Danio rerio: one gene and its partners. The main gene of each other region encodes a partner of the protein of the gene in region 2 in a complex. Links are inferred from orthologs where the notes say so. Each region holds a gene or a part of one and is shown on either strand. Other genes may lie near its edges. The genes, in order: taf5, taf7, taf8, taf11, taf12, taf6 and tbp.

What was found.
Region 1: taf7 (region 2) and taf5 share a complex: the UniProt entries of both Homo sapiens proteins name them as parts of the TFIID basal transcription factor complex. The link is inferred for Danio rerio from reciprocal best matches to the Homo sapiens genes TAF7 and TAF5.
Region 3: taf7 (region 2) and taf8 share a complex: the UniProt entries of both Homo sapiens proteins name them as parts of the TFIID basal transcription factor complex. The link is inferred for Danio rerio from reciprocal best matches to the Homo sapiens genes TAF7 and TAF8.
Region 4: taf7 (region 2) and taf11 share a complex: the UniProt entries of both Homo sapiens proteins name them as parts of the TFIID basal transcription factor complex. The link is inferred for Danio rerio from reciprocal best matches to the Homo sapiens genes TAF7 and TAF11.
Region 5: taf7 (region 2) and taf12 share a complex: the UniProt entries of both Homo sapiens proteins name them as parts of the TFIID basal transcription factor complex. The link is inferred for Danio rerio from reciprocal best matches to the Homo sapiens genes TAF7 and TAF12.
Region 6: taf7 (region 2) and taf6 share a complex: the UniProt entries of both Homo sapiens proteins name them as parts of the TFIID basal transcription factor complex. The link is inferred for Danio rerio from reciprocal best matches to the Homo sapiens genes TAF7 and TAF6.
Region 7: taf7 (region 2) and tbp share a complex: the UniProt entries of both Homo sapiens proteins name them as parts of the TFIID-containing RNA polymerase II pre-initiation complex. The link is inferred for Danio rerio from reciprocal best matches to the Homo sapiens genes TAF7 and TBP.

The regions. Positions count from the first base shown.
Region 1 is NC_133176.1:52,726,595-52,731,060, reverse strand, and holds the start of taf5 (transcription initiation factor TFIID subunit 5), read right to left. Parts: upstream 2,875-4,466; 5' UTR 2,843-2,874; coding exon 2,443-2,842; intron 1-2,442. UniProt on the Homo sapiens protein: The TFIID basal transcription factor complex plays a major role in the initiation of RNA polymerase II (Pol II)-dependent transcription.
Region 2 is NC_133189.1:45,457,443-45,461,252, reverse strand, and holds part of taf7 (transcription initiation factor TFIID subunit 7), read right to left. Parts: intron 3,567-3,810; coding exon 3,443-3,566; intron 3,319-3,442; coding exon 3,260-3,318; intron 2,823-3,259; coding exon 2,750-2,822; intron 2,415-2,749; coding exon 2,304-2,414; intron 1-2,303. UniProt on the Homo sapiens protein: The TFIID basal transcription factor complex plays a major role in the initiation of RNA polymerase II (Pol II)-dependent transcription.
Region 3 is NC_133198.1:35,334,687-35,339,070, reverse strand, and holds the start of taf8 (transcription initiation factor TFIID subunit 8), read right to left. Parts: upstream 2,853-4,384; 5' UTR 2,783-2,852; coding exon 2,735-2,782; intron 892-2,734; coding exon 732-891; intron 98-731; coding exon 1-97. UniProt on the Homo sapiens protein: The TFIID basal transcription factor complex plays a major role in the initiation of RNA polymerase II (Pol II)-dependent transcription.
Region 4 is NC_133198.1:379,757-384,271, reverse strand, and holds the start of taf11 (transcription initiation factor TFIID subunit 11), read right to left. Parts: upstream 3,038-4,515; 5' UTR 2,689-3,037; intron 1,650-2,688; 5' UTR 1,585-1,649; coding exon 1,426-1,584; intron 1,340-1,425; coding exon 1,194-1,339; intron 1,095-1,193; coding exon 1,007-1,094; intron 1-1,006. UniProt on the Homo sapiens protein: The TFIID basal transcription factor complex plays a major role in the initiation of RNA polymerase II (Pol II)-dependent transcription.
Region 5 is NC_133191.1:38,669,759-38,674,170, forward strand, and holds the start of taf12 (transcription initiation factor TFIID subunit 12), read right to left. Parts: upstream 3,085-4,412; 5' UTR 3,000-3,084; intron 2,560-2,999; 5' UTR 2,494-2,559; coding exon 2,323-2,493; intron 891-2,322; coding exon 813-890; intron 1-812. Other genes in the region: ctps1b (CTP synthase 1b), read right to left, coding at 3,732-3,810, 3,916-4,060, 4,134-4,230, 4,316-4,371. UniProt on the Homo sapiens protein: The TFIID basal transcription factor complex plays a major role in the initiation of RNA polymerase II (Pol II)-dependent transcription.
Region 6 is NC_133180.1:59,074,045-59,077,458, reverse strand, and holds part of taf6 (transcription initiation factor TFIID subunit 6), read right to left. Parts: intron 2,083-3,414; coding exon 1,957-2,082; intron 375-1,956; coding exon 201-374; intron 118-200; coding exon 1-117. UniProt on the Homo sapiens protein: The TFIID basal transcription factor complex plays a major role in the initiation of RNA polymerase II (Pol II)-dependent transcription.
Region 7 is NC_133188.1:27,589,371-27,593,180, forward strand, and holds part of tbp (TATA-box-binding protein), read right to left. Parts: intron 1,609-3,810; coding exon 1,517-1,608; intron 1,414-1,516; coding exon 1,246-1,413; intron 233-1,245; coding exon 138-232; intron 52-137; coding exon 1-51. UniProt on the Homo sapiens protein: The TFIID basal transcription factor complex plays a major role in the initiation of RNA polymerase II (Pol II)-dependent transcription.

The DNA of each region.
Region 1 (4,466 bases), on a different chromosome or scaffold from region 2:
CGAAGTGGTTAAGAATTATTAAAAATTGAAAAAAATAATAATAAATAATAATAAAGTTAATTTCTTTTTCTAAATGTGTACATTTCTTTCTACGTAAAAGAAAAGAGAAAGTAAATGTTTAATAGTTGATCTATGTTGTAAATCAATGGAATGCAACGATTTACATCACAGACTATCCACAGACTCTGACGTAAAGCAGCAGCTCAGTGTTTCAATAACATATCGTCCCTCATTTTTAACTTATGTGTTAAATACATGTCAGTGACACGGCACTTTATCCATAAGCAGTTTCTAATTTTCCCATTGTGCCAAATAAAAGTATACTTGATGATTTACTCGACATTCATACCTCTTCAAAAGGGGTCATTTCTAAATCTTTACTATTATCAACACAAAACAGTCCCCCACAACACATGTACTGAGGGCTTTTTGAGAGGAGGAACTGAATTTAACAATCGCTGAAAATATTTGTGATCTTATTCTTGCAAGAATACATTCATCATCAATAAACGCTGGGCATACTCTCATACAATTTAAAGTTGTGCACAGAATACACTGGTCTAGAACAAAACTGAATAAAATTTTCCCTGATCTTGACCCAACTTGCCTTCGCTGTACAACCGAATCAGCCACACTGTTACATACTTTCTGGTCGTGTTTCAAACAGTCTGATTTTTGGGGGAAAATCTTCAGGTGTTTTTCTGCTGTTTTTTCATTGTCAATAGACCCAAACCCCTTAACAGCGCTGTTCGGAATCCTGCCAGAATATGCTGAATTAAATTCATTACAGGCCGATAGCGTAGCCTTTGCAACCTTACTGGCTAGACGACTTATTCTTATGAATTGGAAGTCAGCAGCTCCCCCTTATCGGCAATGGGTTTTGGATTTCCTACATGCTCTTCAGATGGAAAAGATTCAATTTACAATAAAACAAAAGCCAGAACAGTTCCAGAAAGTCTAGAGCCCTTTTATGCATTTTTTTTAAAGGAGACACCTATATCTTAATCGCCTTTTTACCTTTTACCTTTCTTTGTATTGTTTATTAATTTTTTTATTTATGTTTTCTTATGTTTGTATATCTTTGTGTGTAAATATGGTATTTTACCTTTTATTTATAAACTTATTTAGAGCATAATTATGTTTTCCTGATAATTTCTTGTTTGGTGAAGTGTATCAGTGTATATATCTATATGTATCATTACTATGTATATTTTAATGTCTGACCTAAGATGAACCTAAAAAAATAAATAAATAAATGAAAAAAAAATTAATTATTAAGGTTTTATATATATATATATATATATATATATATATATATATATATATATATATATATATATATATATATATATATATATATATATATATATATATACATATATATATATATATATATATATATATATATATATATATACATACATATATATATATATATACATACATATATATATATATATGTATATATATGTATATATATATATATATATATATATATATATATATATATATATATATATACATATATATATATATATATACATATATATATATACATATATATATATACATATATATATATATATATATATATATATATATACATATATATGTGTGTGTGTGTGTGTGTCAGTGATAAGAAACAAGTGTCATCTATTAAAACAACTCGATAGTGTATATAAACTCTAATTTTAACAGCTACTGGGATCATTTAAATGTCATTATATGCATCAACATAACAGCTAATAAAAGGGGTATAGTTAAAGAGTAGCTACAAAGTGATGTTTTAACTCTCATTGCTGGTTACAATGTTTAAAGTTCATGTAAAGTGGGTTATGATGTATATGTAAAAAGTGAAATATGTATGCGAGTCGGTTATATGACTGTGTATATGGTATATGACAATTAAACTGTGAATAGTTTGTTTATGAAGAATTCCGTAATGACTGTATATTAAATGTGCAACAATTTTGTGCAGGAAAATTGTCTGTAAATATTCAGAAAGTTTTTGAGATGTATATAATATTGTTTGTGAAGATGTTTTCATTTCCCAGTGATGGGTTGCAGCTGAAAGGGCATACGCTGCGTAAAACATATGCTGGATAAGTTGACAGTTCATTCCGCTGTGGCGACCCCTGATTAACGAAGGGACTAAGCCGAAAATAAAATGAATGAATTAAAGAAAGTTGTTTTCATATGCTGTGTTACAATGCTGTGAAAGTATACAGCTGAGTTTACTCAAAGAAAAAAAAAACAATACAGAAGCAGTGTTTCAATAACATTACTGTCCCTCATCAGGTGGTGAGGGTGCTACAAAAGAACTGTTTTACATCTTCTAGAAATAACTACTGTTGATGACTCTGTTCTAGTGCATTTAATCATTCAGTGGGTTTAATAAAAGTGATGCCCCAGCATCAGTGTGTGTCTGCGGCTGTCACTCACTCTTCGCAGGTATGGGGGTGAGTGTGCTCTGCGGGGCGGCTGCACCGGCGATGGACACACGGCTGAGCAGAGTTTTTGTATCTCCTGCGTCTCCGTCCTTCCCTCCTGCACCGGCGTCGGTATGCGAGTCCTCCAGCTCCTCTGCTAAACCAGCCTCCCGCCGCAGGATCTCCACCGATTCCGCCAGTTTACTTCGCTTCAGGAACTGCAGCACCGCGAGCAGAGTTTGCTGGTCCTCCGGCTTCGGGGCTCCGGCGGCCGGGGCTGCGGTGAGTGGCGATGAGGACAGAGTCCCGCCGCCGGTGTTCCCCGACGGATTTGCCGTCCCATCGCTGAGGATTTCGGGTTTTGTCTCTTTCTCTGCGTCCACCTCCATCGGTCCATCCTGCACAGCCGCCATTTTTCCCCCGGCGCTGGATGTGATTACGTCATGACGCATGTGGTACGTCTGACGTAAATCTGACGTTTTATTTTTATTTTTTTTTCATGTGAACTTTAATTCATTAAACATATACATCATTATATATCTAAGCAGCATATAATAAACAAAATAATATCCATTTTCCTTCGGCTTAGTCTATTCATCAAGGGTCACAACAGCGGAATGAACTGCCAACTTATCCAGCATATGTTTTACACAGCGGATGCCCTTCCAGCTGCAACCAAGTACTGGGAAATACCCATACACACCCATTCACACACATACACTACGGCAAATCAATTCAACTACCGCATGTCTTTGAACTGTGGGGGGGGGGAATACCTGGAGTAAACCCACACAAACACGGGGAGAACAAGCAAACTCCACATAGAAACGCCAACTGACCCAGCCTGGACTCTAACCAGGGACCTTCTTGCTGTGAGGCGACAGTGCTAACCACTGAGCCACCGTTTCACCCTACAAAATAATAGTAATAACAACATTACATCATTCTAATAGTGCGACACGGTGGTGCAGTCGGTAGCATGCTCACCTCACAGCAAGAAGGTCGCTGGTTCGATCCTCAGCTGGGTCAGTTGGCATTTCTGTGTGGCATTCAGTTTGCATGTTCTCCGGGTGCTCCGGTTTCCCCCACAAGTCCAAAGACCTGCAGTACAGGTGAATTGGGTAAGCTAAATTGTCCTTAGTGTATGTGTATGAATGAGAATGTATGGGTGTTTCCCAGTGATGGGTTGCAGCTGGAAGGGCATCCGCTGCTTAAAACATATGCTGGTTAATTTAGTGGTTCATTACGCTGTCGCGACCCCAGATTAATAAAGGGACGAAGCCAAAAAGAAAAAGAATGATATACTAATACAAAGATATAAATCTGACGTTTTGTTTTTGAATGAAATTCTCTTTCATTTTATTTGATTTTTGTCTTGTTTTCTGTTATGATTTGGATGTCATAATTGCAAATTTGTGTTATGGTTTTATTTTTAAATATTCAGCATGTGCAATAATATATATATATATATATATATATATATATATATATATATATATATATATATATATATATATATATATATATATATATATAAAGATATAAAAAATATACATATAAAAAAACAAAAAACAAATGTGTGTCACTAATAAAGTTTGTGGAATAAAATTATACATAAAATGTATCCAGCAATAACAGTGATCTCTCAGAATTTTGTATATACTTTAAAAACTAAACTCCTTTTTTGTAATTATGGATGTTTTTTATTCAATTTATTTAAATTTTACTTAAATGTTATATTATTATTATTATTCTGTCTTTCTGTTGTTATTTGAATGTCTTCACTGCATGATTTTGTTATATTTTTGATTGTTAAACGTTCATCATATACAATGAACAAAACAAGGGAAGAGAGGCTTGAATGTGTTTTTAGTTAAATTGTTGAATATATGATAGATGTATATTGAATTGCTACATATAGACATACATATATATTTTCAAAAGGAGACAGCATTTGTTTGGTTTTGAATGGCCTTTTTCCTACCATTTACAGGCCCATAGACAGCCTGGTGAAAGGTGTGGTTCTTTTTTTCTCAA
Region 2 (3,810 bases):
TATCGCATAACAGATGTGCGAATAAAGCAGCAATTCCATCCAAAATCATGACTTCCTGATTAACTGGTGCCAAATATCAACAGTGAAGACGGAATTTGCTGTGGTAGGAGATGCTGCGTCAATCTTTTACTTATTTAATAAATGACTTGCACCTCCGAAAACAATGCTGACACGCAATTAACATGTGGTGGCGTTTGAAGGAGTGAGACGTGGAGCATAGACACTCCTGATTTAATTAATATAATAATGTAAATAATTACTTAAAATATATCAACGTAATCAATAATATAATAACATTAATACAGAAAAGGTTAAGGCATTTTAGAATGACTAAAACATCATTTCAAATGTGCGTTTTGATTTGTCGATTCACAAACATTTTTATCATCACGTGATCTCTTATAACAAAATCACATGACTTTTTTTAATGAGCATCCTGAAATTTGTTTAAAAAGTGTTTCCATCGTAGAATATGCACATCATCTCTTTTTGAATAAAACGTTTATTTTACTCAGTTAACTTTTTATCTTGCCGTTTACATCAACCCTTTTTTTGCGGATATCCAAAATGTACAGTTGGATGGAAACATAGCTTATGAGTGTGTCTGTGATGTGCTCCCTCTAGTATATTTGATAGGTGGCCAAATGTTTTACACAGTTTTGATTTAGCTTTTCTTTTGTCTCCTTTTTAACACCCAGTCTTTTAAGCTGTCCTTTTGAAACCAATTGTTTTACTTTATTTATCCTGACATGTGTGGCTTAGTTAATAGGTACAGTCTGGTGGCTGTATCTGACTTAAGTGACTGCCAGTTGATGAGCATGAAAGGAATATGTTGGAGGTAAAAAATGAGGCTGCAGGAATGTTAAAATTCTTTAGTTTAAAAAAAGAAATTCTTAAAATAAATTAAGCAAAAAAGGTCTTAGTCTTAGTTAACAGGTACAGTCTGGTGACTGCATCTGACTTAAGTGACCAGGCGCATACACAGATAGGGCTCAACCTGCGCTGTGCACATGCCCTTCTTTCTCTTGGATATAAAGTGCCCTTCCAAAATAAAGTAAAGAGCATAAAAGCAGAATAATTTATAGGTAAAAAAAAAAAGATGCAGAAATTGTAAAATTCCATAGTATTTTTTTTTACATTAAGTAAAAAAAAAACTCTTAGTGTTTTAGTTAACAGGTACAGTCTGGTGATTGCATCTGACTTCAGTGACTGCCAGTTGATGAGCATAAAAGGAATACATTTGGAGATGAAAATGAAATGACATGAATGGTAAAATTTCTTAGTTTAAAAAAAATGATTAAAGTTAATTCTTAGTTAAGTCTTACTTAAAAGGTACAGTCTGGTGACCAGTATTGGGGGAAGCTACTTTGGAAAGTAATGCATTACAATATTGAGTTACTCTCCTTAAAAGTAACTAGTTGTGTTACTTAGTTACATTTTATCGTAAGTAATGCTTTAAGTTAATTTTGCCTTGCTTTTTTTCCTTACCAGGATGAGGCTTGATCTTTTTCAGAACTTGCAGGGTTTTTTCTTCCTTCTTTTTTTTTTTTTAATAGAGAAGCGCTGCAATTAACAACACACTGTATAACCTACAACTTAATTTACCTTTAAAAAAACACATCTGAAAACGAATAATGTAGGATAATGTTATCTTCTGAGAACTTCCTGAGCCGAAAGCTCTACATGTCATATATACAGATGAATGACATTTTAAAGCAATGTGTATGCTGCTTTTGTGCTTTTTGTCTTATTAGTAAAGTACAAGCCATTTTCAAGTACAACTCAATTTCTTTTCAAAGATTTAAATTAATGAACAAATTCTCTCATCTCAATTTTAATTTAGCAATTTACTTTTTAAAAGCTAAATAATTCAACTAAAAAGTAACTTGCACAACATTTTTCAAAGAAGTAACTCAAATATTATTACTTTATTTTATTAAGTATTGCCTTACTTTACTCGTTACTTAGAAAAGTAAGATTATTACATTACTCCTGTTACTTTTAATGCTATACCCCAACACTGCTAGTGACTGCATTTGACTTTAGTGACAGCCAGTTGATGAGCATGAAAGGAATAAACTGGAAGTAAAAAAACGAATGGCATGAATAGTAAAATGATAATATTTCTAAAATGTTATAGAAAACTTACATTTTAAAAGTAAAATTGACAAACAAATATCCCTGATATTCCTTGACTTTGACATATAAATATATAAATTCCCTGACCCTCAATTTTCCTACAATAAAGATCCCTTACCCATGGGAACCCTGAAAGCAGTAAGATTTGTATTCACAACATTTACCTGAAGAGCCATGACCCTTGTGTCCAGAGGTTCCGGGTGAAGACTCCAGGTTGGAAAGAGATAAGCTGTTGTCAGGTTCTTTAGATTCATCTTCAGCAATCACCTCCCATCCTGACCGCAGGGTCAAGGTTCATTTCAATAATCCTGTTATCTTTTCATCCTCTCAGTTTTGGCACCAGGACATTTTGCTGTGGTTGTATCACTGCTGCTGAGCTACACAAATTTATATGTGACTCATGCCACCTTTTCCTGTAATACTGAGCTTAACTGACTGCTTCTTGCCCAATCGCTCTGCTTAACTTGTGAGCAAGTCTGCCACCTGGTGGCGAGGCCAAGTATAACGAAAGCTCAATCCATTAGTAATGACATTTTCATGTAGATTTGTTGTGACACAGTTTCAACAAAACATGACAGCGAGGGAAACAAAAGCAAGAATTAAAGGATACGAACGCTGACGGCTTCTGCATCTGTGCTCAAGAGTCTCTTCACCTCTTTTTCCACATCAGGAGACTCGATGTACTGCAGGATAAATCAGGTTAGAATTTACCCCCAAGGAACACGTTGTAAAAAAAAAAAAATGCACGCATGCATTCAAATGCACACACAGTACTAACAGTAGAGGTTGGATGTAGGCCAGAGAACACATTAGCGATTAAAAAAAGAAGCCAAGTCAATAGCAAGCTGGAATGCAGTGGTGATTTATTCAGGAGTCAGAGAGAAGAACCAGCCGCTAACTGGCCTGCTGTCATTTCAATCAGAAGAGCAGCCTTTACTGCATACTTTTATGGCAAATGAAGATGGAATGCTTTATTTATATGTAAATCTTAGCTTTTACCATTAACTCGATTCTCTTTTCCCGCAAGAGCAAACAATTGTAGTCCATCTAGGACTGATAAAGAATTGCTGAATCATCAGAAATAAAAACCTCATAGTTAAGGAAAAGCAAATGAGGTTACCTTCTTCTTCGCTGTCTTCCTGAACCGCCTCTTTCTTGTGTTCTTTAGAGGAAGTGTAACTGAATGGAGACAGATGTAATTGGATGTTAAAAGGGTTGGATCATTTAGTACAGACAGCCTGTCTCTACATTCATTTGAAACCAATTAAGATGATATTTCAGTAGAGGAGAGGAAGCTGCTTACTGCCGTGGTTCCAAACAAATTTCTTGTCTTTGTCCTTGTCTTTCTTTTTGCTTTTGGAGTCAGTAGTGCCTGTAGGCTCCTCTAGAGGGGGGTACAGATCTCCATCTAGTGTGCATACCAGCATCTAAAACAAAAGCAGAGAAATTAACGCGAAAATTAAACTTCTGTTTGTTTTTGTTGTTGTTTTTTTCCCAAAAATGTGTTCTTTTTGTTTTTCCATTTTCTTTAATGTACTGTTGAATGTTTATTAAATAAATAAAATAAATAAAACATATATATATATATATATATATATATATATATATATATATATATATATATATATATATATATATAGATATATAGATATATAGATATACATACACAAT
Region 3 (4,384 bases), on a different chromosome or scaffold from region 2:
ATTTCGACGAGAGTAATGACCACATCAGACAGAGTAGGGGTGCTTCTGGCTGTGTGCTCACAGTTTGCCTTTGCGCAACGTCCAACTTCTGTTATATCTATCAAAAGACAACAAGACTCTTAAAAATCAAAAAGTACCCAATTCACCTACAGCACATGTCGTTGGACTGTGGGGGGAAACCGGAGCAAACATGAGCTCTACTTATTAAAATATATTTAAGAATAAATGGTCATACTAGACACACAAAAACATGTATTTATCCATTTATGACCTATTAATAAACTATAACTTAGCAGACAAATAAGTAAACTAGTAATCTAAATAAATAGTGAACAAGTAAAAAGATTTAAAATGACAATAATTAAAATTTTTGGGAGCTACACTTTTCTAAATACTGTATGCCTGACAAAAAAAAAAAACTTTTTTAGTGTATACAATATTAGTCTTATTGACATTTCAGTGATAATTTATTTGCTCAGATTAATATATTTTTAAATAGACACATTCTAATGTACAGAAAAGTGTAAAGTAATTGTATTGTTTTGTGAGCTTTTATTCAACTATAGCTCAATTTTGGTTCCCAAACTGTGGTTAAATTAGAACATAGAACCATAAATTACATACAAATACACACAAACGTAAAAAGTAAAACGCGATGATTTGTGATATTGGTATGCATAAGCTTTTAAATTTTGTCAAGATGAGCTGCTTAAAGTAAATGAAGGACTCACAGCTCTGCATCATCTCAGTGAGTGTCTCCACAACAGCTTTCTCAGCGCTATCAAAGCCACACTCGGTCAGCAGAGCACTGACCACCACTTGCAGCGTGCGTCTCCGAGCCAGCTGATAGTTCTCTGTGGGACTGGTGCAGGTCTTACTGCTCCCCGAGCGCTGGAAATAATAAAATAAAAGATGATAAGAAGGTTTTACAGATCAGGAAGTTTTAAAACATATCTGCATTTAATACAGCAAGGCATTTCTTTGAAAATGCAATAAAAGAGATTAAGTTAGGGCTAAATGAACTGCATTTATTTGAAATGTTTTACAATTAGTATGGTTCCTATACTGTAAGCTTCTGAGTTTTTAAAAGGTTTCAAAGTTTATTCTAAGATTAGTGTTGAAGAAAGAGGAATTGTATTTAGTGGTAATGACTAGGCCCACACGAAATCTGCGCGCGCAGATTTTCCGCAGAATTTCTGCAGATTTTTAGCCCATCATTAATTCTGTTTATTTACTTGAGTAAATGTGTAAATCTAAATTTATTCAGTTTTTATTCAGTAATTTATTACTTTTTGTTTCATATATTAAGGTTTTAGTTTTGATACTCCGCTGGATACTCCCAAAATAATTCTGCAGAAATCCGCAGATTTTTACCAAAAATCTCAGCAGAAATAGCAAAAAACATCTGCAGATTCCGTCTGGCCCTAGTTATGACTCATGAATATAAAACTTTGAAAAAATAATGGAAAAGTTAGTCATGTAATTAAGTTTTTATGAAAATCAAAACGTTTTGAGGTAGATTTACTTTACTGGAAATTACTATAACTCACATTGTGGAATCGTATGTGATTTTAAGTTAATTTCTGCTTAGTTAAGTTGGTTTTATATGGCACATTCATAAAGTGACAACTTGTGAGTCGCTATATTGTTTTCCATGCTACTTTGATTATTAAGTGTAAGGGATCAACCTATATTAAAACATTGGTCAGGGATTTATTAGGTCATTTAAAGGAACCAAATCTTGAAGATCTGAATTACTTGATTCAACTCAATTGAGTCAAACTGAATCAGATTAAAAGCTTTACCTACTAAATCTACCATTTGTCCAGCAAATAGAAGACATCGTATTTTACCAATCCTGTTTAAATTAATTCCATGGCCAACGATAACATAACAGTATTGGGTAAAATTTTAGCTAGGTAATGACTTCAAAACAACATTATCACTGCTGCTAATAGGATTTCCCTATTTAGAATTTGCAAACAACATGTTTCTGAACTTATATTATTAAGGACAAAGTCTGAATGTGTGAATATAAAGCCACCTTTACCTCAATCTTTGTTAATGTTTTTTTATTTTTTATGGATGGATCCTTAACAAAAAGTTAGGGATTTTGTAAGGCTGTGCTTATAATTACTGAGGCAAAAATGCATCTATTGCATTCATTTTTGCATCTGAGAATCTGGTTAAGATTACTATTCCACTGTGGATTGCATTAAGAGTGTGGTATTAAATTATGGTATGTAAAACTGCCCATTCCTGTCAATAATCTAGTTTACTGTTAATATATTATGCTAACCCAATTCTCCATGCACAATAACTTGTCATTATGAGTGACATTAGCATTGTTTCATAGAAAACTCCTGCTGGGAGAAAATTGAGTTTGTACAGTTGCAGTACAGTAAAGTTTGTGATTTTCGGCTTTAACAAGACGTTTACCAGTTATATAAAACACTGTTTGACGACACTGATCTGCAACAGCTCACTATATAATTGATATATATATATATATATATATATATATATATATATATATATATATATATATATATATATATATATATATATATACAGACGTGTTTACATACGATACGGTGTCTGCTTTAAAATATATTACACAAGTGCCTTTAAGTCTAATTTTGATCAAAAAACTAAAGTTAGTATTGTTTGGCTGAGCCAGCAGGGTGAAGGAAAGAGTAACGTTAGCGTTAATGAAAGGAGATATTTAACGTACGCTTCCGGAGTTTAAAGATCCGCTCCCCATCATTACCGAGTCTGCCATTTTAGAACTCTAGTGGTTTTTCCTCTGATGTTTAGCATTCGCAAATAAACTCATTGTGCGTTCTGCGTTTGCTAAAAACTGTATTTGGTGTTTTTATATTGGGCGAAAATGGCAACCCTATCAACATTTCCAACAGGGCGACCGGAAGGTTGTTGTTTTCTGTGCAATTCCAAAATAAAAGTCAAACAAAGAAATAACTGTTGCATAGCCATTTCCTAAAAATGAAAGCAAAAGTAGAAATTTGCATTTTTTGAAGTCATCGTCAATACGGTATTGTAGCATGCTCATAAAACTTTTATTAAGTTATTCTAAAGACTTCTAAATATGTTATCTTTATTTTTATTTTAATGATTTGAATAAAAGAACCATCACACACGAACTAGCTGTTAATGTTAATAGTTAAATGTCGAACATCTTACAGAAATGTCAAGTCTTTTAGATAACAAAATGTTCACATCCTTGCTTTCTACATGATTCTTTAGTAAAACGGTAAACTGACACAGAAGATTTAATTTTTAAGTTCTGACCTGAAAACGAGGTACAAAAGCTAGGTAAATCAGTTTTAATCCTAGTTTTATTATAATATTTGAATCGTGGGAGTAGACACAAACACCTCAGACCTTAATGCTACCAAATTATTATATTATTTTATGTATTTTTCATATAATTTGACATGTTAATGGGTGTCTGTGTGTTTTTATGTTCTGCGGAGCAGGAATCTGCTGAAAAACAGCATTCATGCTGAGTCAGGCCCAATTATCTTTTAATCTTTTCATGTTAAAAAATTATAAATAAATAAAAATTTTCCATGGAGAGCACAGATGATGGTTGCTTAGCAAAGGCTGATACCACAAATGCTTTGAAATGAGTGGACAAAGCGAGACAGACCAACAAGGCTTTAAAACGGATGAGGATAATAAACTTTCATCATGATGATGAACTAAAATGTCACATAAGTGCAGTAGACATGATAAAACCAAAACAATGTCTTGTCTTGAGAATATCTGAGAAAGACTGTAAAGGACCCACTTTCTTCTGGAAATAGCTCATTTGCATTTAAAGAGATGCACATTTTTTGGGTCATTTTTTTTTTTGCAGCATGACATAAAAAAATAAATGATCTGTAGCTTAATTTGAGCTGTAGCTGCACATTCTGTGGACACAGAAATGCATTACGCCTATTTATTATGAAGCAAAATTGGTCTCCTTTATTGTGTCTTAGTATATCCGGTAGATCTGCATTCTGCATATGGGGCAGAAGGTTTAGCTTAATGTGTTAAAGGTCAGATTTGCCAATCAAAATGTATCATTGTGAAGCAATCTCAAATGACAATATTTCTGTAGTAAATTTATATTTATTGATTTAAATAAATAAATATTGTGTCATTCTATTTTCTAAAGATTGGAAATCATAACAGTAATTCAAATAATTCATTTTATTGCAGCGATTGCTTTAGATGTAGGAAATAAAAAGAAGTGTAAATATAGTTGTGTGTGTATTGTGAAAAATGCTTTGCAACTATTTATCTAGGGGTATATTAATATTCTATAATCTAGATTTTGAAAAATAAATATATAACAATAATAACTAATTCTGCGGTG
Region 4 (4,515 bases), on a different chromosome or scaffold from region 2:
TCCACACAAAGATTTAATCAACATTAGTGTGGGCAGTTAATGATATAAAAACAGCCTGAATCATTAAAAATGATGATCTGTTTCAGTGAAATGATGCTACATGACACGCCTGCGCCTAAACTAATGCATCACTCACACTCAATATGAAAGAATTGATGGACTTCCAGCAGGGGGCGCCTGTAGACCAGCAGGAATAACATTCAGTTTCTTTTCAGCTTAGTCTCTTTATTAATCCGGGGTCGCCACAGTGGAATGAACCGACAACTTATCCAGCATATGTTTTACGCAGCGGATGCCCTTCCAGCTGCAACCCATATCTGGGAAACACTCTTACACACTCATTCACATTACATACAATTTAGCCCACCCAATTCCCCTATAGCGCGTGTGTTTGGACTGTGGGGGAAACCGGAGCACCTGAAGAAAACCCACACGAATGCCGGGAGAACATGCAAACTCCACACAGAAGCCCCAACTGAACCAGCCGAGACTCAAACCAGAGACCTTCTTGCAGGAATAACAATGCTGCCATTTTCTTTTCAGCTTTGTCCCTTTATTAATCAGGGCTCGCCACAGCGGAATGAACCGCCAACTTTTTCAGCATATGTATTCAGCAACCCATCACTGGGAAACATCCATACACACTCATTCACACACACACACACGCATACACTACAATCAGTTCCCCTATAGCGCATGTGTTTGGACTGGAGCACCTGGAGGAAACCCACGCCAACACGGGGAGAACATGCAAACTCCACACAGAAACACCAACTGACCCAGCTAAGACTCAAACCAGTGACCTTCTTACTGTGAGGCGATTATGCTACCCACTGCAACACCATGTTGCCCAATATTCACAAATTAAACTTAGGCAGACAGCCACACACTGAATAATCCAAACAGACACAATATTTACCAGCTGTAAAAGACTTTAATACTTTCTCTAAACAGATTGATCAACTCTGAATTCTTTTTAAGACCTGTTTTTAATTTAAAGACTCACTCTTTTAATAGCTGCCTTAGGGAACGCCGAGCGCCTGTACATCTCATAGCGGTTCAGCTGCTCTTCAGAGAACGATGATACTAAAACTCTGAAACACAAACACGTCTATTAGTGTTATTATCAGTTTACAGCTACACACACACACACACAACACACACACACACACACACACACACACACAGCTCACTGCATCTTCTGGATTTCGTCTTCATCCACTTTGTGGCGTTTCTCCTTCTTCTTGTCGTGCGGCTCCACTTTCAGCTTTTTGGCAGGAGGAGGATGCAGAGATGAAGATCCCTCCTCCTCTTCATCACCAGCATCTTCAGCAGGCCTCTGAGGAACACAGTGATGCATGGTTGATTTATTTGCATGAGAATGAAACTGAATTCATTGAGGATGCAGAATGAAGAGGCAGAGACCTGACTGAGCGTCTTGCCCTCCTCTTTTACAGCAGTCTGTCCCGCAGCAGGGTCAGAGCTCTTACTGCTGCCCTCCGGACCCTCACTGGACCCCTCGCCCGGTTTGGGTCTGTCCACCGATGTGCCCGCTTCAGGTTTCACACGGGCCGGGTCTGCCATGATTTCAGCTGATGGATCAGGGAAAGGGAATGTGGAAATAATGGACACTGCTGTAGTGTGTTTATCTGCAACACATGAGCGGGAGTCCCTGATCCAATTACAACTGAGCACTGCAATAACACTGTTCTAACTCAGAGTGTCTGTTTCTAGTCCAAATATCTAAAATATCTCAAGAAGCCTTGCTTGTGTTTCATGATTGCAATATATATATATATATATATATATATATATATATTTTTTTTTTTTTGTAAGAATTACTCTGGATGAATACTATTGAATGTAAAAAAAAATTACAAAGATTACAAAAAGCAATTATGTAGAACAAATTGTCATATTACAAAAAAAGAGAGCAACCATTCATTACAATTTTTAAAAAATGTTTATATATATATATATATATATATATATATATATATATATATATATACATATATAATTTTAATGCACATGTATTTAATTAATTATTCTAATCAAATGATTATTTATTTGATTTTAATATTTAATTATATAATATACAATCTTTGAAAAGAGAGAGCAATTTGTTGTTGGTTTACAAAATTAAGAAAAAGATTTAAGGAACATTTAAGGGGAAAAAATGTGTAAACAGGCAACCATTGACTTATAATAGGAAAAACAAACCCTACAGAAGTCAGCGGTTACCGGCTTCTAGCATTCTTCAAAACATCTTCTTTTGTGTTCAACAGAAGAAAGAAACTCATAAAGGTTTAAAACAAGTAAAGCAAGAGTAAATGATGACAGAATTGTAATTTTAGGGTGAACTGTTGCTTACAATGTCAATACTGTCATTACAGTTTATAATTTAGTCTGTGTCTTCTATAAAACATATAGAGGTGAAGTTGGTTGTATATTCTGATATTCAGACATTCTCCTCAATATAATGTCAGAAAAGTATTGTAAATAGGGAAATGATATTAGCAGCAAATGACTATCAAAGTACAGCATTGTTCACAGTCAATTAGACAGTGTTAATGTTGTTTACAAGTCATACTTGCATGCTAATTCAGATCCAATATTCAGAGTAACATGCTAAACAATATAGAGACTGCTAAATGCACCAGTGTGCGGATATAAAACCTACTTTACCTCTAAATATCCATTAAGTCCCCATATATCATTGTTATTGATCGTAAACAACGCGATTAAACAGGGCTCTATCTAATGTGCATTAGCTGTATTAACGTTACACTCGGTCATCTTCAATGTAATGATAGTTTACTTTAGGTGAAAACGGTAACTTAACGATCATCGTAACTTACGATGCTATGTGTATTTGGGGCCGGATTTAACACTTGTTAGACAAAATAAAACCGTGAATTCATAAAAAAAATCAAAACATACCTAAGACCGACAACCGCGTTGAAAATAATGTTTAAAAACACAAAAATCCAACGAGTGTTCTCTGACGAGCGCCTCAGACCGACAAAGTAAACACGAGCATATCCGGTTAAACTACAAAATAAGAGTCCGCACAAGCGTGCACAGCCACGTCAAACACTTGGTGGCGCACAATACTATACATTAAAGCAGCGGTTCTCAGATTTCTTTCATCAAGGACCACCTCAGAAAAAATGTCTCTTCAAGAACCACCATAAGGAGCAGTACTGAAATGCAGAAGTGTAGTAGGCCCAATGAAGCAGCTCTGCACAGTTCAAAAACAAGGCAGATTAATTCCTATTAATACGAATATTTATTATTGTCAGCCACTTTAAACATTATAAATAGTTGAAACATAAACACTGTGCTTACAGTTACAAACAAACAAACAAACAAACAAACAAACAAACAAACAAACAAACAAACAAACAAACAAACAAACAAACAGGGACTAATAACTGATTTAATCCATCAAAATTCACTCGAGCTTTTAGTTTAATTGCAGAAACCCTTTAATTATTCATAATTATATATTTATTTGATAGATATTCACAAATGATTAAATCACATTTAATTATTTAAATGTACCCCTTGCATATAGTTAAAATTTTATGCTTATATTTAAATAATAATAATAATAATAGGCTAATTAATGATGTTATTTCAAATTATCCCATTTCAACTAAACGATATGTACCTAAAATGTCCATAAGGAGTATTTGTTTACTTTTTTATTTTATTAACTTGAGTAAATGTATTTTTTTATTTTTCACTGATTTGTTTGTTTGAATATATTGCCCATTTATTTATTTATTTTAATCAAATATTAATTACTTATTTGTTTCATTTTAATAATAAATATAATTTAATATATACAATGCAAATAATAGATATTTGCACTGATTATTTTAGCATGGTCAGGTTACATAAGTCAAATTGTTTCTTTTATTTTAAAATTGATTAAAATGATTTTGACTACTTGAAACCTAATTTTCAAGCCACTATTAATAACAATAATAATACGCATAATTCATACGAACTGTGGCCTCACAGCAAAAAGGTCTCTGGTTTGAGTCTCGGCTGGGTCAGTTGGTGTTTCTGTGTGGAGTTTGCATGTTCTCCCCGTGTTGGTGTGGGTTTCCTCCGGGTGCTCCGGTTTCCCCCACAGTCCAAACACATGCGCTATAGGGGAACTGATATAATGTATACAATATTGTGTAAACAGTAATTATACCCAGGGTTATTTTTATTAAAAAATGTGTGTGAATGAGTGTGTATGGATAATTTCCAGTGATGGGTTGCAGCTGTAAAGGCATCCGTTGTGTAAAACATATGCTGGAATCATTGGTGGTTCATTCCGCTGTGGCGACCCCTGATGAATAAAGTGACTAAGGCAAAGGAACATAAAAGAATGAATGAATAATAAATAAATCAGTAAATGGACATCACATTCAAACAGACGAATCAGTTTAAAATTAACAATAAAATATAGATGAAACAAAAGTAAATAAAACACTAAAATAAACATAATTACAG
Region 5 (4,412 bases), on a different chromosome or scaffold from region 2:
CACACACACACACACACACACACACACACACACACTATAATGCATTATAGTACAAATATAGTATAGTTTAAATTCTTGAACTGACAAAAACAGATATTTCAGGTCTAATATACAGTTGCAATCAGAATGATTAAACCCCCTGAATCCGGAATTATTATCAGAGAGCAGTTTTTTTCAACAGATTTCTAAACATATTAGTTGTAATAAGTCATTTCTAATAACTGATTTATTTTATCTTTGCCATGATGTCAGTAAATAATATTTTACTAGATATTTTTCAAGATACTTCTATAGAGCTTAGTGACATTTAAAGGCCTAACTAGATTATTTAAGTTAACTAGGCAGGTTAGAGTAATTAGGCAGGTTGTTCTATAATGATGGGTTGTTCTGTATACTATAAATATATAGCTTAAAGGGGCTAATAATTTTGACCTTAAAATGGTGTTTAAAAATTAAAACTACTTTTACTCTTGCCGAAATAAAACAAATAAGACTTTCTCCAAAAGAAAATAATATTATCAGACATACTGTGTAAATGTCCTTGCTCTGTTAAACATAATTTGAGAAATATTTAAAAAAGAAAAACAAAATTCAACAGGGGGGATAATAATTCTGATTGCAACTGTACATCAACTGATTATTTCCCTAAGTGTTTTATATATCATTGCAATTAAAATCCCATTTGTTTCTCACAAACTCAACTATTTATTATTCAAGTGTGTTTAAAATGGTAATTTGGGCAACAAACTGACTAGTCAACAATGAATGTGTGAGAACACTTTTGAACATCATCAATAATAAGACACACGTACTTCTTCCACATCCTCATCAAGTTGCTCATTAGGGTCAATTTCTCGAACAAGGTCCTGCAGCTTCTTCTTACTGAGCACCTGTAGGGAGGACAATAAAAATACATAAATGTCAATATATTTTTAAATTGGCTTAAAAAAGTCTATTTTCACATATAGGTCTATCGCAAATATTGATTATTTGTCTGATCTTTGTTATTTGATCTACTTTCAGGTGTTGAAAACAGGTTTTTTTTTTTTAAATGAGGGAAATTAAGTGCATAAACAAATTAACATGCTTAATATACATTTTACCTGTAAATGACAGCTTGTTTTATTTCTGTGAAGACCAAACTAACAGAGAACCAAAGATCTTCTTTCCCACATATATTGTTATATTATAATATCATATAACATTATGATTGCTTGGTTTTATATGATTTTTTATTTTAATATAAAACGGACCAAGACTCAAAATTTTAACTAAAAAAATACAATTTGAATCTTAACATTTACCACACATTAATATAATTTAAATATAAATATAATTAAAATGGAATTTAAATTTAATTCTAATTTTTATATTATTTTCCATAGTTTTAAAGCCATACTGGCCTATATTTAATCATGTTTCAAAGCAAAATAAAAAGTATATATGTATATAAATAAATAAAATTATTCTAAACTGTTAAAAATCTAAATATTTTTAAAATTATTTGCTTGATTAGTAATCATCAACACAAAATTTTCAATCATGATAGGTATACTGCTACATCCAAAGCTACGGAAGAGTAGAAGTGCAAATCATGATAGATTGAATGAAGCAAAAATGTTTTGACAAAAATAGTCAAACAAATAGTTTTTAAAAACATTTTATTTAACGTTACACAGTTTATTATAGTTGCTACTTTTTATTTTGCTTTGAGACAAGGTTAAATAAGCCAATATGATTTTACATTAATAATGGGGAAAAATGTTATATTTAAAAATTAAATTTATATTCAATTTAAATTGTTATTAATTTTAAACTATATTAATGTAGTTAAATGTTAAGATTTAAATTAGATACTGTTTTGTTTCATTTTTTAATCTAGGTTCTTTTTACATATATAATATAATATAATATAATATAATATAAGTTTTAAAGAAGAGCTTCGACTGTGTATTTGCTTTCTTCTCTAGGTTTCCGCAGAAATGAAATAAATGATCATTTAGAGGAAGGAATGTTTTTATGCATGTTCGTGTGAAAGTAAAAGTTGGTTCGCACATTCAAACTTTCTCAATAATATAATTTCAGAAAAGTATTCTTTGCAAATTCTAATAGTAGAAATCTTATTAGTAGCCAATGACTATCAAAGTACAACATTGTTCACAGTCAATTAAATAGTGCTAATATTCTTTTGTAGTCATACTTTGATGCAAGTACAGACTGAATATTCGTAGTAAACAATATAGGGACCGTCTTACTGAACAAATATCCGAAAATAAAACCAACGTTACCTCAGTCTTATAATAGCTGTACAGTCTGACCCACCTGAGGTCCTTCTGGGCTCAGTCTGCCTGCTGGTCCGGGGGTGCCGGGCAGTTTCCCCGGAGCGACCGTGCTGTTGGCCATGCTGCTGGACAGCGGCGGTGTTGAAGAGGCTTCTGCTTTCACAACCGTGTAGAAATTCGAGCGACTGGTCTGTGCTGGATACTGGGTCATACTATGCTAATCAAGAGATGTCAAATGTCACAAGCCTCTTCAGAACTAGTGGGAGTTTTAAATCAGCTGCAGAAAAAAGATATTAAGAGTTCAACTGAGTTTAATCAATGCATAAATACATTAAGGATATTAAACGGCTGTTTTAAGTAAGTTATATCAACGAAGTGAAGAACTTTTAGCTCGATAGAAATAAACATCACCGAACTGTCATTTGCTGTATATGCTAGCGTTAGCCTTTTTGCTTCGCCAGTGTGTTATGACATAATTCACTTAAACTAATTGATAATGTAAGTGTTATGCTGATATTAATGTGATATAATGCAAATTACCAAATAAGTATGGTTTTTAGTCTGAATTTCTTCATAGTTGTTGTTTTTAATCATCACACTGTAGCTTAACATATTAGCAGCTAACATTAGCGAGAAAAACATTCGTGCCAATACACGTCTCGCGATGCTTTCCTTTTGTTTGATGTAATTCCGTTTAATTGTTAATCGTTGCAGTACCTGATGCAAATAATTCTGTATTATCTTTCCATCTTCGACGTTTAAGGTCTGGAAATATGCACAAGCCCTTCCAAGTTGTTTTTCCTTCTACAAGCGCCTCTTCTGACGAACGGAGCTCAACCGAAGTATCGCGAGATCTCAAAAGTCTTACAAAATAAAAGCACAGAGAAGTTGATGAAGCCTTCTGGAAAATGATCTCTTCCAAATTGTTATTTTATTTGGTAAAGTAATAGTTATAAGTGGTAGAGTGCTCTCTCTCTATATATAAAAATCCCCTAGTTTGTAAAAACAATCAATTTACATATGTATTTGCATAGACAAGTTCAGTGAGCCATTTTAAACACAGCTCATTGTTATTAATGTCAACTCCTGATAAAACCATCCAAGTAATACTAGTTATGATACTCGAAATACAATAAATGTTAAATATTTCATAAAACTTTTAATATATAATATTTCAGCTAGTTCTGTATAATAAAAAATTACTTTAATATACAAATTAAAATTATTAAAACACATTATTTCTAAAATTTTAATTAATTAAATAAATTAAATTAAATGAAAATGTACAATGAATAACTATAAATTATCACTTCTATACCACTGTACACAACACACTTGTTCACATTTTAAAACCAACACATTAGCATTGTTATCCATTTATTTAAATTCATACATTCATATCATAAAACGTCATTCATGTGTTTTTATGATTAGGTGGGTTTTTCCTTTTTAAGAAAGCGATGGGAATTTGAATTCAGAGATTTCCGAGTCTGGTGAACTAGTGCCGCTTCGGTCACTGTATGCGTCTCTGAGAGAGAAAAGGAAAACAAGATAATAAGACAACTTACACAGTATACTGCATGTCTCCACTTTAAATTAATTTAGGATGATATGAGTTTAAGAAGCAACAAACCGAGGTGAGAGCCTGCATCCTTTCTGGAGGTAGTTTTGCAGTTTCCCAGACGCTGCCAGCAGAAGGCCGAAATACGGTGGTGAGGGTTTGATCGGGCGAGAAGTGAATTCTGGATGGTACTGCACTCCAACAAAATACGTGTGATCTGTTTGGACAGAAGAAATCAGTTGAAATGAGCACTGACTGACCGCTTTTTCAAATACTAGACGATCACTGACCTTCAAGTTCAATGATCTCCATCCGCTCCCCCTCTAGGTCCTGACCCACAAATCGAAAACCTCTATCCTCGAAGTGGTGCTTCAGTTCTGGATTCACCTGGAAAAAAATGCAAAGATTACTAACATGAATAAATAGAAAACAAAACATTTACGGTATTTTAGAGTAGATCTTTATTGCAAACCTCAAAGCGGTGTCGATGCCTTTCGTCCACGTATTCAGCATCTCCATACAGCTTTCCTACAACAATATAATTCAAATATTATCTATATGCACTTATT
Region 6 (3,414 bases), on a different chromosome or scaffold from region 2:
TGTTCCAGGTCGAGTAGACATGAGGGTAAGTGAACTGGGTACTTTAATTATGCTGGGTGTACGTGAAACACCTGATGTTGACAATCCACTCTGAGACATTGTCAAAGTCGGACGTGGCTAAATACAAGACGGAGAGAATTTAGGTTTGATGTGTATGATTTTAACAAGTATGACAAATATTTTATTTAAAATTTACTCACCTGTGTGATAGTAAGTGTGGTTCTGTTAACAGTTTGGGCCTGAAAGGCAGCCTGTGCACGGGCCTTCACCACATGTGAACATAGCATAGTGCCCAGATAACCATAATCTGCTTTGTATTGCTCCACCAGATCTGGGACCGGCCTAGTTTTAGCAACCACACTTGCACAATGTTTCTAAACACAGAGACCAGAAGGAATTACATTTTTTTAATGCATTTTATATATACAATCATATATATATATATACTAGTGCCGATATACATCTATATCACACTGCTACGAGTGTGATATTGCGTTTATACAACAGTTTGACGGCATAATTGTGTATATAAAAACAAAATCAAACATGGAAAGTCTCAAAAACTTTTTTTTGAGGAACTCTTTTCTTCTGCGTTGGATTGAAATCATAGGCTGACAGTTAAACAGCTGAGCAAGCATCCTTTAAACTTTGATCTGAAGTGTCTGCTTTTTGCTGGCTGCATGTGGGCGGAGTAATACACAAAGTGTAAAGAGGCTGTACTGGTGCTGATATTAAATATATCACTGCTATCAGCCAATCAGATTCGAGAACCAGACAGAACTTTTATTTATATATATAATGGCACAGCACAGCTCTTCGTCAGCTGCTGCAGAGATTAATCTATCTCTGTCTATTCTATCTAGTTACACATATCTCTATACAAAAACACTTAAAATAAAAATAAAAAACTTTTTAACCGTGGCAGCCTTCTACTATGCTGTTTCTTTAACCTGCAAGTCTTTTTTTTTAGAAAGAATAAAGATCCTACAATATTGTATGCTTCTCAAGCTCTATGAGGAATGTCATTCATGTCTGGCGCACTCACAAGATAATCGCCTGAGATATGTCATTTGGTTTTTGATTGTCAGGTTGTTGTAGGCCTAGTTATAATAATATTTATACAATATAGTTATAATGATATTATTACAAGATCAAACTAGTGTTACTTTCTCTGCTTCAGTGATGTCCAGCGGTAGAGTAACAGCTCGTGTAAAGGATGAGACGAACAAAAGTAATCAATGCATGCCCTTCTTTTACTTATTTTCGTGTTGTCAGGTTTACAGTGCAAACAGCTCCCAGGTGAAATAACTTAATGAACATAAAACAAAGCCAAATAAAACTTTCTTCCTCTGCTTTAGCTGCACAGCACAGAGCGAGCTCACATCATCCAGCATGCGAGTCAAACTACACTACCCACAATACATTTCGCTATGGACTACAACTCCCGTAAATAGCGTCAACTTTCTATTTCCCTTTTCCTGCAACACTAGTGTGCAACTTAAGCAAAACAGATACTAAAATTGTTTTACATTTGGTTTTGTAGTTCAGGCCTAAGATCCGTCTCATGCTTCCACTAGAGTGAAAGCACCACCAGCAGTCAAAAGTGACCAAAACATCAGCCAGAAAGTATAGGAACGGAGAAGTGGTCTGTGGTCACCACCTGCAGAACCACTTCTTTATTGGGGGGTGTCTAGCTAATTGCCTATGATTTCCACCTGTTTTCTATTCCATTTGCACCACAGCATGCAAAATTGATTGTTAATCACTGTTGCTTCCTAAATTGGCAGTTTGATTTCCCGGAAGTGAGATTGACTTGGAGTTCCATTGTGTTGTTGAAGTGTTCCCTTTATTTTTTTTAGCAGTGTATAAATGACCATGTAAAAAAACTTAAAAGCATAAGATAAACACCACAACAACTGCTTATCAACGATTAAGAGGCTGTTGTAAGGTACTTACCAGTAATAGACTCTGGACATGATCAGCTCCAATCTTATCAATATTGGATACCACTGGCCCATCCATCACTGCTTTAATACGGGCACCCTCTACAAACAGTCGGGGGATGATCAAAGTCTTTATCACCTACATAGTCAGAAAAAGACATCAAATTTCTCAATTTAGAAACTTAATGCTTTTAATGCTTACAGTTTTTCCACATAAGTGCCTTCAAAAGTCAGACACCATGGACAATTTAGCCTGAAATCAAATAATGTCAAATATATCACAATTTTTTTTTGGGTCCAGTTGAAAATGGGGCCCGGCCCTCCAGCGGGGAAAGAGCAAATTCCCTTTTCTCTGAATTGTCTCAGGTCTCAGGTACGCTTAGGTGTCTGTTACCAGACTTAATGGCACCCTAGGCAAGGAGGGCTGCCAGCTTCCGTGGTACTTGACGTGCCCGCTTCGGCAGAGGCACAGGCAGGCTTACCGTCCTGCCGATAGATGACATTACACATCGCATTAGACTGCTCTCTCACCACCTTGAATTTCTGGGGGAATTCACAGACGGTGTCACAGAAAAGGCCAGCCTTGGATATGAGCAGGGCCAGATTGAATCTGCGGATGTTTTTTGCTATTTCTGCGAACAATTTTGGTAAAAATCTGCAGATTTCTGTGAAATTATTTTGGGAGTATTATAACTAAAACCTTAGATGTAAAATAAAAAGTAATACCTTTTAAACTTTTATTTAATGTTTGAATTGCAAATTCAATTAGATCCACTTTATTTGGTAAACAAAGCAAGTCACTATATATCTACTAAAAGAACAATTTCATATTAGTCAATAATATTACTGTAATTAATAAAAAACTGAATAAATTTAGATTTTCACACATTTACTTAAATAAATGTAAATAAACAGAATCAACGATGGGCTAAAAATCTGCGGAATTCTGTGGAAAATCTGCGGAACTCTGCATGCGCAGATTCAGTGTGGCCCTAGATATGGGGCAGTCAACACACACACACACACGCGCGCACACGCACGCACGCAGGGGAGAAAGACAGTGTGCTTAATGACGGTGAAATGTTTGATACCGCACGTCGTATTGGAGAAAAAAAGCCTCTGCTTTCTCTGCAGAGATGCACTCAGTAGGTCAGAAAGCCATGTGTGTGTAGACAATCCTGTCACAAAATGTGGCGAAAATTCAACACGACGGTCGGCAAAAGTTTGCTTACAGTGCTCACGTGTCTACACACAGAGAGCAGCATTTACAGCCGATCTTTTAATATTGTAGTGATATCAACGTACTGTAAACCAAGTAACTTAGAAATCATTTTGACTAAGTTCTGTCTTTAAACACTGAAAGAGTACAGCTGACCATACGAACTATAACTTTGCCATCTGAATGAACAAAGAAAGGGCGCTGATTGCACACACTTTCCGAATCTGTAGACAGGATAATCAAAACATACTG
Region 7 (3,810 bases), on a different chromosome or scaffold from region 2:
TGGGGTAAATATTCTCAAATGCTTCATAGATTTCTCCTCTAACCTTGGCACCTGGAAACAAACGACAATGTTCATAAATCTCACACTACTATTGCAAGGTACTATCTGTGCCATTTCAAATGTAACTATGACCTCACCTGTGAGTACGACTTTGCCTGAAACAAATATTAAAAGAACGATTCTGGGTTTGATCATTCTGTAGATTAACCCTGGAAATAACTCCGGTTCATAGCTGGGGAGGAAATATCAGCAGTATATTAGAGTTTAGATCACATTTATCAGTCAGATTCCAATTTCTAGTCAAAATAGTGCTCACCAAGAAATAACAAACACACACAGCAAATACTTCAGTATAATAGAAGCAAACACTTATTTTTCTAGAAATGTCACTTTTTTTATGATCATAAAGACATGCAGCATATATCAGGCTACTAAAAACAAGCTCATTTATTTTTCTCTTCTAATACTGGTAACATTTAAAACATGTTCTGTCTCCAGTGACAAAGCATAACTGCACTTTGGGCATCCCAAGTTCAAATCCTGGTATGAGGAAATTTCTCTATCCAGTGCCCCTTTTCCTGCCAAACTTCTCTTCCCATCTAACTATTGTCCAATCACAATAAGTGAGAGGAACAAAAGCATGTTAATAATAATAATAGTTTGATTTTATTCAGGGTCACTAGTAGTCAATTTGCATTGTATTTAAGGTTCTGTAAAGTGCTTTTAAATGTGGGTTTTTAATTCTGACTTTTCCCACCAGAGTCTCCGCTTTGTTTCTCCATGTTTAAAAACAATATCTAGATTCTACACTGTAAAAAAAAAAAAAAAAAAAAAAAGTTTTTTTTGCTGCAAAGCCTTTTTTTAGTAGACTTAACTTTCAACCCAAAATACTGCACAAGACTCAAAACTTCTTAAAGCAGGTTGCCTTAATTTTAATTTGAGTCAACCTTGTAGGATATATCCTATTGGAGTTGCAAATGTGATAGAACCTGCCATGTAGGACTGAAAACTAAACTAAACAAATAAATGTATAAACCAAATAAAAAGTTTTTTTCTGACAGTTTAACTTGTGCCCCCAATTGATGCGCATTGTAGGTTTACAAATTACTTGAAATAAAGTAAGAAAAAAAAATCAAACTGAAATCACGTAGTATGAAATAGAAATTCAAATAAATTCAGAAAAACTCAAAGTAGTTTAAATAATCAACAAATTAATAACAAACTAATCAAAACCAAAAGACAAACCTGCTAAACTGCTGGTGGGTAAGCACCAGGCCCTCTAATCGGATGGGAAACTTGACATCGCAGCTCCCCACCATGTTCTGGATTTTGAAGTCTAAGAATTTGGCAGGGAAACCCAACTTCTGCACCACTCTGGCATATTTCCTAGCTGCCAATCGAGACTGTTCCTCACTGTGGCAGGAAGTTCACACAAGAAAGGTAAACTCACATACTGCTGTTTGTTCATCAAGAATGTAGAAAGACACAACAGCAAGTGTGCAGGTGACATTCATACCTTTTGGCTCCTGTGCACACCATCTTCCCCGAGCTGAAGATAAGCGCTGTTGTTCTGGGTTCTCGTATTCTCATGATGACGGCAGCAAAACGCTGAAAGAGTTATCAATGGATGTACAAAGTTTGTTATTGTAATGAAACTTGAAATAATATAAAACTTTGTTAATGATGTAGATTTTCTTTGTTATTTTGTTTTACTCTGTATATGGTTTGATTTTGTTGAATGCATTAAGTTGTGGTTGGCGTCTTTAATCATGACACAGAGATTACTGAGCCTACCGAATATATGGTGCATATAGTAATGGACATGAAGCAAAGTCATGGAACGCTAGGTGAAAAATGCCAAAAAGGCACAAGCATATGTCTGATTCACGGATTCCCCGTTTATGTTTTAACTCCTGGTATAAGGGAAAATAAGACTATTTTAATTTATTTAATTTATTAGGCTGGCTTGTGTAGCAAGCCAGACTACTGTTATCCTATTAAACTTATTATTATTATTATTAGGCTGGCTTGAGAAACAAGCCAGACTACTGAAATCCTATTTAAACTTATTATTTTTTTTATATATTATTCTTCTTCTTCTGAGACTAAAATTCAAAATCTATCTCCTCCTAGAGCTTTCGAGCTATGACCACCAAACTCACACCAGACCTCCAAACTATTCTGACTCGGTATGCCATATCTTTTCCGACTGATCCGACTTTCGATTTTCCGAAAAACGTCCCGGGACCGTCGGAAAAATCCCATAGACTTAACATTGGACCAAACTTTGTGACCTCATAACTCTGCGTCAGACTGTCGCACAGAACTCTAACTGGGCTCATTTAACTCAGACTATCAAACTGCCAATGACTGATCACCTTTAAACTTTCTAGCCACGCCCTAGCAACCACTTTTGGACCCTAGAAACTGTCCCATAGACTTCCATTCAAAAGACTCTCATTGACTTAACATGGGATCAAACTTTGTGAGGTCATAACTCTGCATCAGACTGTCCTACAGACTAATGGCTGAGCTCATTTAACTCAGACTACCAAACTGCCAATAACTGATGAGCTTTTAACTTTCTAGCCACACCCTAACTACCAGATACTGCACCCTAGCAACAACTGTCCCATAGACTTTTATTGCAAAAGACTGTCATTGACTTAACAATAGATCTAACTTTGTGACCTCAAAACTATCTATCTATCCTTTTTTCAAAATAGATAGATAGATCTCTATCTATCTATCTATCTATCTATCTATCTATCTATCTATCTATCTATCTATCTATCTATCTATCTATCTATCTATCTATCAATCTATCAATCTATCTATCTATCTATCTATCTATCTATCTATCTATCTATCTATCTATCTATCAATCTATCTATCTATCTATCTATCTATTTATAAACTACTTTAATCTATCTATCTATCTACCTATCTATCTATCTATCTATCTATCTATTTATAAACTACTTTAATCTATCTATCTATCTATCTACCTATCTATCTATCTATCTATCTATCTATCTATCTATCTATATATCTATCTATCTATCTATCTATCTATCTATCTATCTATCTATCTATCTATCTATCTATCTATCTATAAACTGCTTTAATCTATCTATCTAGCTATCTATCTATCTATCTATCTATCTATCTATCTATCTATCTATCTATCTATCTATCTATCTATCTATCTATCTATCTATCTATCTATCTATCTATCTATCTATCTATAAACTGCTTTAATCTATCTATCTATCTATCTATCTATCTATCTATCTATCTATCTATCTATCTATCTATCTATCTATCTATCTATCTATCTATCTATAAACTGCTTTAATCTATCTATCTATCTATCTATCTATCTATCTATCTATCTATCTATCTATCTATCTATCTATCTATCTATCTATCTATCTATCTATAAACTACTTTAATCTATCTATCTATCTATCTATCTATCTATCTATCTATCTATCTATCTATCTATCTATCTATCTATCTATCTATCTATCTATCTATAAACTACTTTAATCTATCTATCTATCTATCTATCTATCTATCTATCTATCTATCTATCTATCTATCTATCTATCTATCTATCTATCTATCTATCTATCTATCTATTTATAAACTACTTTAATCTATCTATCTATCTATCTATCTATCTATCTATCTATCTATCTATCTATCTATCTATCTATCTATCTATCTATAAACTGCTTTAATCTATCTATCTATCTATCTATCTATCTATCTATCTATCTATCTATCTATCTATCTATCTATCTA